Linked DNA regions of Callithrix jacchus. The protein of the gene in region 2 purifies or fractionates together with the protein of the main gene of each other region. This does not show direct contact. Links are inferred from orthologs where the notes say so. Each region holds a gene or a part of one and is shown on either strand. Other genes may lie near its edges.

Region 1 (5,417 bases), on a different chromosome or scaffold from region 2:
CTTACCTGTGAAATGGGGCTGAAACTAGCACCTACCTCAGGATTCAGTGACTCAGTAGAATAGTACCTGACATGTAGGAAGTCCCATGTAGGTGTCAACCTGCTGCTGTTTTTATTTTTTAATTTTTTGAGATGGAGTTTTGCTCTTGTTGCGCAGGCTGGAGTGGGCTAGAGTGGTCTCAGCAAACTGCAACCTCCCAGGTCTCCCCGGTTCAAAGGATTCTCCTGCCTCAGCCTCCCAAGTAGCTGGGATTACAGGTGTCTGACGCCACGTCCGGCTAATTTTTGTATTTTTATTTTAGATAAGGCCAGGCACAGTGGCTCATGCATGTAATCCCAGCACTTTGGGAGGCTGTGACGGGCAGATCACCTGAGGTCAGGATTTCAAGACCATCCTGGTCAGCATGGTGAAGCCCCATCTCTACTAAAAATACACACACACACAAAAATTAGCTGAGCATGGTGGCGTGTACCTGTAGTCCTAGCTACTTGGGAGGCTGAGGCAGGAGAATCACTTGAACATGGGAGGCAGAGGTTGCAGCGAGCGGAGATTGTGCCACTGCACTCCAACCTGGGTGACAGAGCGAGACTCCCTATCAAAAAAATAAACAACACATAGAGACAGGGTTTCACCATGTTGGCCAGGCCGGTCTTGAACTCCTGACCTCAAGGGATCCACCCACCTCAGCCTCCCAAAGTGCTGGGATTACAGGCGTGAGCCACTGAGCTTGGCTACTTGCCGCTGTTGTTAGAGCTAGAAAAATTCTTTTCCTGGAGTGTTAGTGGCTTAAGGAACCATGATTATAGTGTTGGCGTCTCTAAAATGTATTTGCTTTGAGATTTTCCCCTTAAATGGCAGGTATTCTCCTAATGAGAAATTGACTTTGCATTCCTTTCTGAATTGAGACATTTCTTCCCCAAGAGGGAGGGGAATACTGCCCAGGCAGTGGCTCACACTTGTAATCTCAGCACTTTGGGAGGCCGAGGTGGGCAGATAACTTGAAGTCAGGAGTTTGACACCAGCCTGGGTAACATTGTGAAACCCTGTCTGTACCTAAAAAAACAAACAAACAAAAAATAAATAAAATTACCCAGGCATGGTGGCACATGCCTGTAATCCCAGTTACTGGGGAGACTGAGGCAGAAGAATTGCTTGACCCCAGGAAGTGGAGGTTGCAGTGAGCCAAGATCACGCCACTGCACTCTAGCTTGGGTGACAGAGTGAGATCCTGTCTCAAAGGAAAAAGAAAAAAGACAATAATGTCATGTGATTGGCTGGGTGCAGTGGCTCACGCCTGTAATCCCAGCACTTTGGGAGGCCGAGGTGGGCAGATCACAAGGTCAAGAGATCGAGACCATCCTGGCCAACTTGGTGAAACCCCATCTCTACTAAAAATACAAAAAAAATTAGCCAGGTGTGGTGGCATGTGCCTGTGGTCCCAGCTACTCAGGAGGCTGAGGCGGAAGAATCACTTGAACCCAGGAGGCGGAGGTTGCAGTGAGCCGAGCTTGCGCCACTGCACTCCAACCTGGCAACAGAGCAAGACTCCATCTCAAAAAAAAAAAAAAAAGAAAGAAAAGAAAAGAAAGAATGTCATGTGATGCAGGTGCAACTCAATCCCTGTTAATAAAAACCAATATAGGTATAGGCATTTTACCCTTTGAAATAGCTGTGTCTCAACCTGTTGCCATTGATTTTTTGGAAATGGCTTTAGAAATTTCCAGGTTGTCCTTGAATTGTCTAACCATGGACATAAACAGCTGTCTCCCTTCTGCTGTGTAGAATACTTTGACTTAATTTTCTTCCAGATACAGGGGGATACCTGCCTGTTTTTCAAAGTGTTTATTTACTGCTGTTACTATTTGATTAGAATGTATTAAATTAAAAAAAAAAACAACCCTGATTTCTACAAAAAAAGAAAAAAAAGATGGAGTGGGGAAGCAAGGAGGTGCCCAGGTCTGCAGGGCAAGTGGCCAGGCTGAGTGGGTTCACTGGGCCTTCCTGAGCTGGGAAGGGGCGGGCTGGGAACAAGACCATGAAGCCCATCAGAGTGTGTATTTAGTAAATGCCATCGACTGTTGCTTTCTGAACATCCATCTTCCCCACTTCCCTTGGGCCTGTTTATCTGAGGCCCGTTTCCTCCCCTAGGTACCTCATGGCAGGGCCAGACTCAAGCAGTGAGGACGATGAGGCCTCTCACAGCGGTGGCAGTGGTGATGAAGCCCCTAAGCTTCCTCGAAAGGTTTGATGCCCCCTCTCCAGTGGGGGAGGGTGTAGTGGGAGGATGACATGGTTCTGCTGTGGCACCCCAAACTTCGTATTCCTGCCTCTTGCAGGTACCGCCCCATCACACCCACACTGTTCCTGCCCTCCTCACCCACCCACTCTCCCTCCTCAGCCTCCCCAGACCAAAACCAAGCCCACTCAGGCAGCTGGACCCAGCTCACCCCAGAAGCCCCCAACCCCAGAAGAGACCAAAGCAGCCTCACCAGTGCCCCAGGAAGATAGAGACATTGAGGGGGAACAGTCAGGTCAGACTCTGAGGGAGAAGGGGCTGGGGCCTGGACTCCTGAGTCTGAGAGAGGAGGGGCTGGGGCCTGGGTTCTGAGTCTGAGGGAGGAGGAGCTGGGGCCTGGACTCCTGGGTCTGAGGGAGGAGGGTCTGGGGACCTGGACTCCTGGGTCTGAGGGAGGAAGGGCTGGGGACATAGATCCTGGGGTCTGAGGGAGGAGAGGCTGGGGACATAGATCCTGGGGTCTGAGGGAGGAGGGGCTGGGGTTTGGACTCCTGCATCTGAAGGAGGAGGGGGTGGGGCCTAGACTTCTGGGTCTGAGGGAGTAGGGAGTGGGGCCTGGACTCTTGGGTTGAAGGAGGAGGGTCTGGGTTCTGGACTCCTAAGTCTGAGGGAGGAGGGGCTGGGGCCTGGATGACTGGATCTGGAGGGCAGTTGCAGCTGGGGGCATGAGATGCCTGGGTCTGTGCCATACCCATGCCAGGGAGGGCTGCTGGTCTTCCCAGGAGACAAGGCAGCCTTGCATTGATTGAGCTTCTCCTTGCAGAAGGACAGGACAACGGGGCAGAAGATTCTGGGGACACAGAAGATGAGCTGAGGAGGTAGGGCTGGGGCTGGGGTTTAGGGTGCCTGGCCTTGGGTGTAGGAGAGCTGCCCTGCATGCTCACTCTCTACCCCTCTTGGCACCCCCAGGGTGGCTGAGCAGAAGGAACACAGACTGCCCCCTGGCCAGGAGGAGAATGGGGAAGACCCATATGCAGGCTCCACAGATGAGAACACCGACGACGAGGAACACCAGGAGACTCCTGATCTGCCAGTCCCGGAGCTCCCAGGTGGGAAATCTCCCATCCCTCCCAAAGTGGAATTTTCCCTTCTCAATTCGAAGCTGCTACTTGCCCTGGCCAGCCCTGGGGTCACTGCTGCCCCATGTCTTGTCTCCCCTCTCCTTCTCCAACCCACTCCCTGCCTTAGCACCTCCAGGTTCTGCCAGGTTCCCTTCCCTTCAGCATCCTCTCCATGACTTGCCTTCTTCTTCCCTCCAGATTTCTTGTTCTGACTACTCCCCTTGCAGCCATGTACCAGGTGTGACCCCCCTTTTTTTCGCTTCACCCTCCCACTAGTGCTTCACTTGCCTGGGTGCAGTTCTTTTGGTCCAGAGTGAGGCCGGGTACACCAGGTGACAGGGGCACTGCCCTCCGTCAGGCCCTGGGTAGATGCACACCAGTGTTCGCTGTAACATCAGCCATCACCCTGGACATGGCTGCTGTTATGTGTGTTTGCATTTCCAGTGTAAAAGAATAAGAACAAAAGGAACCGAGGAAATTCTGCAGGGAGTTGTGGGATGGGGCCAGGGAGGCAGAGCTTCTTTGAGAATGAAGGGAGCGAGGAAAGGCAGTGAAGGAGGAAAAGAAGGGGCTGTGTAGTGGTGCAGTTCAGGGGCTACCGGAAGAGCCGTTTCCACACAGTTCCTCGAGAGTGATGGGCAGGAAGATGCTTTGATTCTCCAAAACCCCTAAAATGGCATCAGCAAATTGATGGCCTAGAATGTCACCTTCAAATGGAAGGAAGGAGGAGCCACTCCAAAGGTCAGAGCAAGAAAGGTGCTGGTTGGAAAGGAGAGCAAAGGTGAAGAAGTAGCAGATACTGATGTTTCCAACCTGGGTTAAGCTCATTAAGTGGCTCCAGCCAGGCCAGGTGCAGTGACTCACCCAGTACTTTGAGAGGCCAAGGTGGGAGGATTGCTTGAATCCAAGAGTTCAACACCAGCCTGGGCAACATAGCAAGATCCCCTGGCTTTTTTTTTTTTTTTTTTGAGACAGAGTTTTGTTCTTATTACCCAGGCTGGAGTGCAATGGCATGATCTCGGCTCACAGCAACCTCTGCCTCCAGGGTTCAAGTGATTCTCCTGCCTTAGTCTCCCAAGTAGCTAGATTACAGGCATGTACCACCATGTCTGGCTAATTTTGTATTTTTAGTAGATACAGAGTTTCTCCATATTGGTCAGGCTGGTCTTGAACTCCCGACCTCAGGTGATCTGCCTGCCTTGGCCTCCCAAAGTTCTGGGATTACAGGGGTGAGCCACTGCACCCCGCCTTGACTTTAGGTCTTTACAATTTTAAAAATTAGCAGAGCATGGTGGTGTGCGCCTGTAGTCCTGGCTGCTCAGGAGGCTGAGGTGGGAGAATTGCTTGAGCCCAAGAGTTTGAGACCAGCCTGAGCAACATGTCAGTACCCCGTCTCTCTACAAAAAGTTTAAAAATTAGCTGGGTGTGGTTGCCACAAGCCTGTAGTCCCAGCTACTGGGGAGGCTGAGATGGGAGAATCACTTGAGCCCAGGAGGCAGAGGTTGCAGTGAGCCATGATTGCTCCACTGCACTCCAGGCTGGGCGACAGAGTAAGCCTTTGTCTTAAAAAAAAAAAAAAAACAACATGAGAAATAAGTAGCTCCAGCCTGTCTGTCAGAAACAAATCACAGCTGGGCGTGGTGGCTCATGCCTATAATCCAAGCACTTTGGAGGCCAAGGCGGGTGGATTACCTGAGGTCGGGAGTTCAAGACCAGCGTGACCAACATGGTGAAACCCCATCTTTAAAAAAAAAAAAAAGAAACAAATCACAGTAATAGTCATTGTATCTTATACTGTTAAAGCAAGCAAACCAACCAACCAACCTACCTCCCTGGAAGGCTCTGATGGGCTGCTGGGCAGGGGGCCCACTGCCTGCGATCAGTCCCCACCCACATGTGGACAGCCCTTTCCTCAGTGGCTGGGTCAGCCTCATCACTCCTGTCCGGTGCCTGGGAACTCCTGGGGCTTCACGATGACCTTAGCCCTCTTCTCTCCTGCAGATTTCTTCCAGGGCAAGCATTTCTTCCTTTATGGGGAGTTCCCTGGGGACGAGCGGCGG
Region 2 (6,165 bases):
TATGTAAGAATTTTCCCTTAGTTAATGAAACTTTTTATTTAAATTTCCTTTTATGAAATGAACCACAGCTTAAAGCAGGTAAGATCTTGAAGACATCTTAGGTCTTGGCCTAGAGAGAAAGTTGAGCACATTGGCCTGTGCCCAGCCTTGGAGGCAGATACCCATAGCTAGGTTCAAATCCTGCTCTGTTACCTACAAGCCATGTGACCTCGACTTGTTCCTTAACTTACATTGCTTGTTGTCTATAAAGTGGACATAATAATACTATTTTCCTCCCATGATTTTGAGGATTAAGTGAAATGATGAATGTAAAACAGTACAAGACACATGGTAATAAGACTTTAGTACGTATACACAGTTTGTGGACTAATGTCTAATGGTTTCGATCGGCTAGGTAATAGCACGTATTGTGTGTGATCACCATCTGATACCGAAACTTCAACTGTAAGAAGTTTTCAAACCACTTTTTACACACAGTTTCTCATGCTGTACCACAGCTTTCTTCCAAGAAGGCAGGCCGGTGATTAGATGCCTGTTTCCACCAAAGTGTAAGTCTAAGCTGAAGACTTGTCCAGGATAGGGCAGCCCTTTGGGGCTGAGACCTATAATAGAAACTGCGTATTGTAAGTTTTCGGTTCAGCTCTGTTTCCTATACTATACTGCACCCAAGATGGAAATGGAAACTTTGGGATTTTGGGGAAGTGTATGTGTTGATATTAGCGCCTAAGCTGTGTTAAGGAAAATAATACATATTTAATTACACAAAATGTCAGTCAGAATATGAGCTCCACTGGGGCAGGAACTACAGTTTATTTTTCTGCTCTCTCCAACCCTCTGGGTAGGTATCCAGTACATATTTAAGTGGATATAGTTTTGAAATATTTTCTGAATTGTTTCTGCAGCTTTGCATAATTGTCAAAGCAGGAAATGCAGATTGGTCTTCTCCAGTGCTTTAGCTTGTATGTGTATGTAAATATATTTTCTTTTATGTTTAGACCATCACAGCTGCCTGGAGCTCAAGTGTTAAACTGTGAATTATGAATGTTAAGCCTCTTTCACATGATAGGAGTCAAAATATGTAATAGTTTCACCTTCTAGGTATTGTTTAAGTGTTCTTAGCCAAAAACTCACTTTGTTTCCCCTGCTCTGACACCACAACAGTCAACACAGAAAACTTCTGTGACCAAATATGTATGTGACTTTCCTCATAGACTAAGCAGGGGACACCAACTGGGTGTCCTCTAATTCACTTCAATTCTTATGCTGCCTTCCTGGAGATGTAGCTGAAACGCAGTTCAGTTTGGTCACGGCTGGTAGAGTCAAATTAGCAAGTGCAAGGTCTGGTATAAAGAAAGTGACTTTTTATTCCAAAGCTAGCTTGGAGGAATAAGCACAGGCTTCTTGTCTAAAGGGGTATGGCTTTGCTCTTGGAGCAGAAAGTGGGCACTTTTAAAGCGGAGCACTGGCATGAGTGGCACACAGGGGAGGAAACAAGCAGGTGGTTACTTTCTTACTTTCTGCCTTCTTTACCAGGCAGTCCATTTGATTTCTTCTGGGCAGAACTAGGTTGTAAAGCTGGTGGAAATTCTCCAGGTGGGAGAGTTTCGTAGTGGGCATACTTTGGGTTGTAAATTGACTGCTGTCCCCCGAGACAGTACCCTGGTGGGGGAAAGTTCTGCTCTAGAGCTTCTAAGCACATAGTTAGATGAACTTGCCCTATAGGGAGTGTCTGGTGAAGGAAGAATAAAAGGTTATAATTGCATTTCTAAATAGCTAACTAGAAAGTGGGGAAGGAGTGGCGGGGAACGGAGGAAAGAGAAAAGTAAGAAAAAAATAATTGAAAAAATACTTTTTTAAAAGAAATACAGGGGTACTCAGTTGCAGAGATAGCCTCAGATCCCACAGATTGAGGACTCCGTCCCACAAGACTGCCCCTCTCCCTCAGACACCAGTTGCAAGTCTGGGCCTCTGGAACTTCTGACTGACCAGCTTCAAGTTGAGGTTCCTATGACCCTCTCTTTGGGTTTAATTTGCTACAGCAGCTCACTGAACTTGGGGAAACATGTACTAAATGTTTACTGGTTTATTATGAAGGATACAGATGAAGAGATGCATAGAGCAAGGTATGGGAAGGGGCACAGAGCTTTCATGCCCTCTCTGGGTGCACCATGACTCTCCAGGAGCCTGCAGGTGTTCAGCTGTGAGGAAGCTCCCTCAACCCTGTCCTTTTGTTTTTTTAATAGAGGCTTCATTACATAGGCATGGTTGATTACATCACTGGCCATTGGTGATCGACTCAACATTTAGCCCCTCCTATCTCTGGAGGTTGGGGTGTTGTGACGTTTGGTCATGCCTTGGTCTTTCTCATGACCAGCCCCAATCCTGAGGTTGCCTAGGGTCTGCCAGCCATCAGTCTCATTAACATACAGAAAGACACACATTGGAGATCCCAAGGATTTTAGTTGTTGAATGCCTGGAAGCAGGGATGAAGACCAAATACATATTTCACAGTATCAGAGGAAAGGTGCATTAAACAATTATGATTTCAAGTAAGAAATCTAATTCCACATGACAAGTTGGTGGATTATCTGACATTTCTACTGAAATGGGCCTTTTAAACTTCTTAAATCTGTTTTTACTTTTAGTACAAATCAAAGAATTTTCAAAAGGAGAACATCTGTCCATCTACTCCCTTAAAAATGTTTTTAGTATTTAAAAAAATATTTCCCAAAGAAGAAAAATGTGTATATGTGGACATGAAATTGATCACTAGTATTTTCAGCTTTTCTTGTTAATTAGGCATTCCAAGAGCAGAAAACTGTTCTCAGGTATTACAGCATTTCTGTTAAGATTATTTGAGTCACTTTAGCATTCCCTTTTATTCTTTCCCAGGTTCTGAAAGACCATGCCTCATCCATACCTAACGAAGAGTCCTGGCCTGTAGTAGGCCAGTTTTCAAGCATTGGCTCTTTGGGAGCTGATGAATCAAAGTGGTTATGTTCTGAGTTTAAAGAGAGCATGCTGGCACTGGGGAAGGAAAGCAAGACTCCAGGAAAAAGCTCTGTTCCTCTTTACTTGGTAAGTGCTCGTCCTCGTTGTGGTAATTTATTCTCTACACAGGAGAAGAATTGAAAATTGATCCACTTTGTAGTGAAGAGATGTTTTATTTTGTGATTCTTTTTTGTGGGATTATGGAGGTGTGGAAAGAGTGGTACATTAGCATCATCATTTGTAATCAAATTGCTTCAATACCATCCAATGCCAAGAGCTTGCTGATTTGTTCAGGAGCTCCATTACTGACACATATTGGCCTGTGATTTTTCTATCCTTCCTTTCAGGTTGTTGAGCCAAGGAAGAAAATATTTGATGTAGCATAGCCAGCAGAATTATGAGCATTTTAATTATTTAGAGACCTGTGAATTAATAATTAATTTTTCATTCAATGTTAACTTCACATTGCAAGGAAAAAATATTCAAATTGAATTATAACTTTTCATCAAATATCTGTTGTTTAATTACTAGTTTATTTTTTATAAGATGAAAACAGTTTAAAATTTAAAGGATATTTTCAAATTTAAAAGTATTTTTAACTGAGATTTTCATTTTCTTAAAAGCTGATTGTCATTCTTTTTCTTCAACATGATATATTCCAAGTTGTATTGTTTTTCTTTTATTTTTAGATCTATCCTTCTGTGGAAAATGTGCGCACCAGTTTAGAAGGATATCCTGGTAATTCTTTGGGAGACTGTCTCAGTTGTGTTTTATGTATATTTCATGAATGTCCTGGTAAACTTTTACTAGTATTGGTTAGAAATTTGGAGATGGTTTTCACTTAACTATATAAGGATCACAGAAATAGGTAGTATCAAGCTCTGTGTTCCATAGATGATACCTCTCAGTTTGGGTGTGGTGTTCATCCTCACAGAAATCCTCTACACACTGGTTCTCATTTTTACCAGTAAGGTAACCAGCAGGTTGTCCAGACAAGATAGTCAAGTAAAACCAGCTTCCCTTTTCAGAGCTTAGCTAACATACCTTCCTCTCATCTCTCTCCACTTCCTGTGTTTGAGGTACCACGTGGTCTTTTTAAATGCCTGATACATATATATCTAGGGTCTGAAATTTTTAAATTTTTACCTTTGATATAACTTTGTTGATGTGTCTGTTCTTTCAAGGGCTTCATCTGCAAATGCCTAAGATTTTTTGTAGGTATTTTATGTGAGCCTTGTTCTTCACTTCCCTTACACCCATACCAGGTGCTAAACCTTTATTTGGAATTCAGCAGCACCGTAGATAGTGTAATCAGGAGGTATTAACTGAAAACCCAAATAGTGGTTGCCTCTAGAAAAAGCAAAGTGTAATTGGCATTTGCTGATGGCTGAAAGCAGAGTGTACCGAATTAGACTAATTTATTTCATTTATTGCTTATCAGGCTGGAAAAGAAACATCTGCCAGAAAAATCTCGATAGCGTTTGGGATGTATTTGCCAATTTTTTTGCTTTTGAATGGCAAAACCAAAATTACTTACTTCACCAAGACCCTGTGATAAAGTAAAAATGACCACCCTCTGATACGGTGGTCATTTTTCTTTGGTCCTCTTTTTGTGTCTCTAATAGGCTAGATTCATTCGAAGTGTACTTTTAATGGGGAACAACATGGTATTTTTAACAAAGATGTTTTATAACTGGCTTTCAAATGGAATCTTTTTAGTTATTTGCAATTGAAGACAGGACATTCCCTATTTGATATGTCAGCGATGTTTGGATATAGATCTCTTTGGATATAGATCACTGTGAAGTTCCAGCATGTGTTTGGAAAGTCACTGATGAATCCACAATGGAGTTTTTGTCCTTTTCAAGACGAGCAAGCATTGACTTCAGTTGCATTTCCACTTGGAACTTTCTTTGTTCTCTTTGCAAGAATAAGGCTTTTAGAATTCCTTTTTCAAATTGAACTGTTTACTGAATTTTAATTTGTTTTTTAGCCATTATTTTCTGTGTGTCAGAATCTGTTCAGCCAGTACAAAGTATACTGGTAAACATTTATCATACCTAAGGAAGGAAACCCATTAAGAGAACATACCTAATGCAAGTATAGACATTTTCTTTCAAATAACTATTCCATAAGATAAAGTAATGGAAGTAGTTTTTTCCTGTTAACCTTCTTGCTGTTTATTATAGACTTTCCTCTTAGTGAAGGATTCTAAAATTCTATTTCATAATTTTTATTGTTTTATTTTTCTTTTAAAAGCTGGGGGCTCTCTTCCCTATAGCATCCAGACAGCTGAAAAACAGAATTGGCTGCATTCCTATTTTCAGTAAGTAATTGGTTTAGACTGCTGCTATTGCTTCTTTAGGAATTAGAATGTTATTTATGTCACTTTTTTTTTTTTAAGGAACTTTATGTAATATAGCTATATTCTTTCATCTACATATGTTGGTGATGGAAATAATTTAAAACAAGGTTTTGAAAATTTTTTTTTTGGATAGGTTTTTAATACCAAAGAGGAAAATTTATTGCTGTGAGGTTTCTATTTAAATATTGGCATGCCAAGAAAGACAAATAAAAGATCATATTGGGTAGTTTAGAATTTACATAAGCAGCATTTTAGTCCATTTTTCCAAAATATAAAGTATGATTATTCTGTCTATACCATCACGTGTGGCTGCAAGCTTGGTGAGGGCAGATCCTATGCTGTTGTCTCCTGAGGATACAGGACAGTATCTGGCATGTTGTCAGAGTTCAGTAAATGCTAAGTGGACAAGTGAAAGGAATGTCCTTCACCCTGCATATGCTAGGCCAGTCTGTTTTTTCATGTACTACAGCCTGCATATGCTAGGCCAATCTGTTTCATGCTTGCCTTAACAGGTGTTTGGTGATCTGGTTAGCCAGAAATGAAAGCAGAATTACTTTGAGTTATAGCTTTCAACTATAATTCAGTGTGTTTTCCTGGAGCTTTTCTTTTCTTCTTCTTCTTCCTGAGATGGAGTTTGGCTCTTGTTGCCCAGGCTGGAGTGCAATGCTGCGAGCTTGGCTCACTGCAACCTCTGCCTCTTGGGTTCAAGCGATTCTCCTGCCTCAGCCTTCTGAATAGCTGGGATTACAGGCATGCACCACCACGCCCAGTTAATTTTGTATTTTTAGTAGAGACAGGGTTTCTCCATG

What was found.
Region 1: the proteins of TDP1 (region 2) and XRCC1 purify together in Homo sapiens (affinity purification with mass spectrometry; 4 studies listed by BioGRID and IntAct, with this or other methods). This does not show direct contact. The link is inferred for Callithrix jacchus from reciprocal best matches to the Homo sapiens genes TDP1 and XRCC1.

Annotation. Positions count from the first base shown.
Region 1 is NC_133523.1:38,032,384-38,037,800, reverse strand, and holds part of XRCC1 (DNA repair protein XRCC1), read left to right. Parts: intron 1-2,148; coding exon 2,149-2,242; intron 2,243-2,336; exon of another isoform or gene 2,337-2,398; coding exon 2,399-2,531; intron 2,532-3,059; coding exon 3,060-3,114; intron 3,115-3,205; coding exon 3,206-3,345; intron 3,346-5,358; coding exon 5,359-5,417. UniProt on the Homo sapiens protein: Scaffold protein involved in DNA single-strand break repair by mediating the assembly of DNA break repair protein complexes. Negatively regulates ADP-ribosyltransferase activity of PARP1 during base-excision repair in order to prevent excessive PARP1 activity.
Region 2 is NC_133509.1:124,881,597-124,887,761, forward strand, and holds part of TDP1 (tyrosyl-DNA phosphodiesterase 1), read left to right. Parts: intron 1-2,892; coding exon 2,893-3,078; intron 3,079-3,680; coding exon 3,681-3,729; intron 3,730-5,250; coding exon 5,251-5,317; intron 5,318-6,165. UniProt on the Homo sapiens protein: DNA repair enzyme that can remove a variety of covalent adducts from DNA through hydrolysis of a 3'-phosphodiester bond, giving rise to DNA with a free 3' phosphate.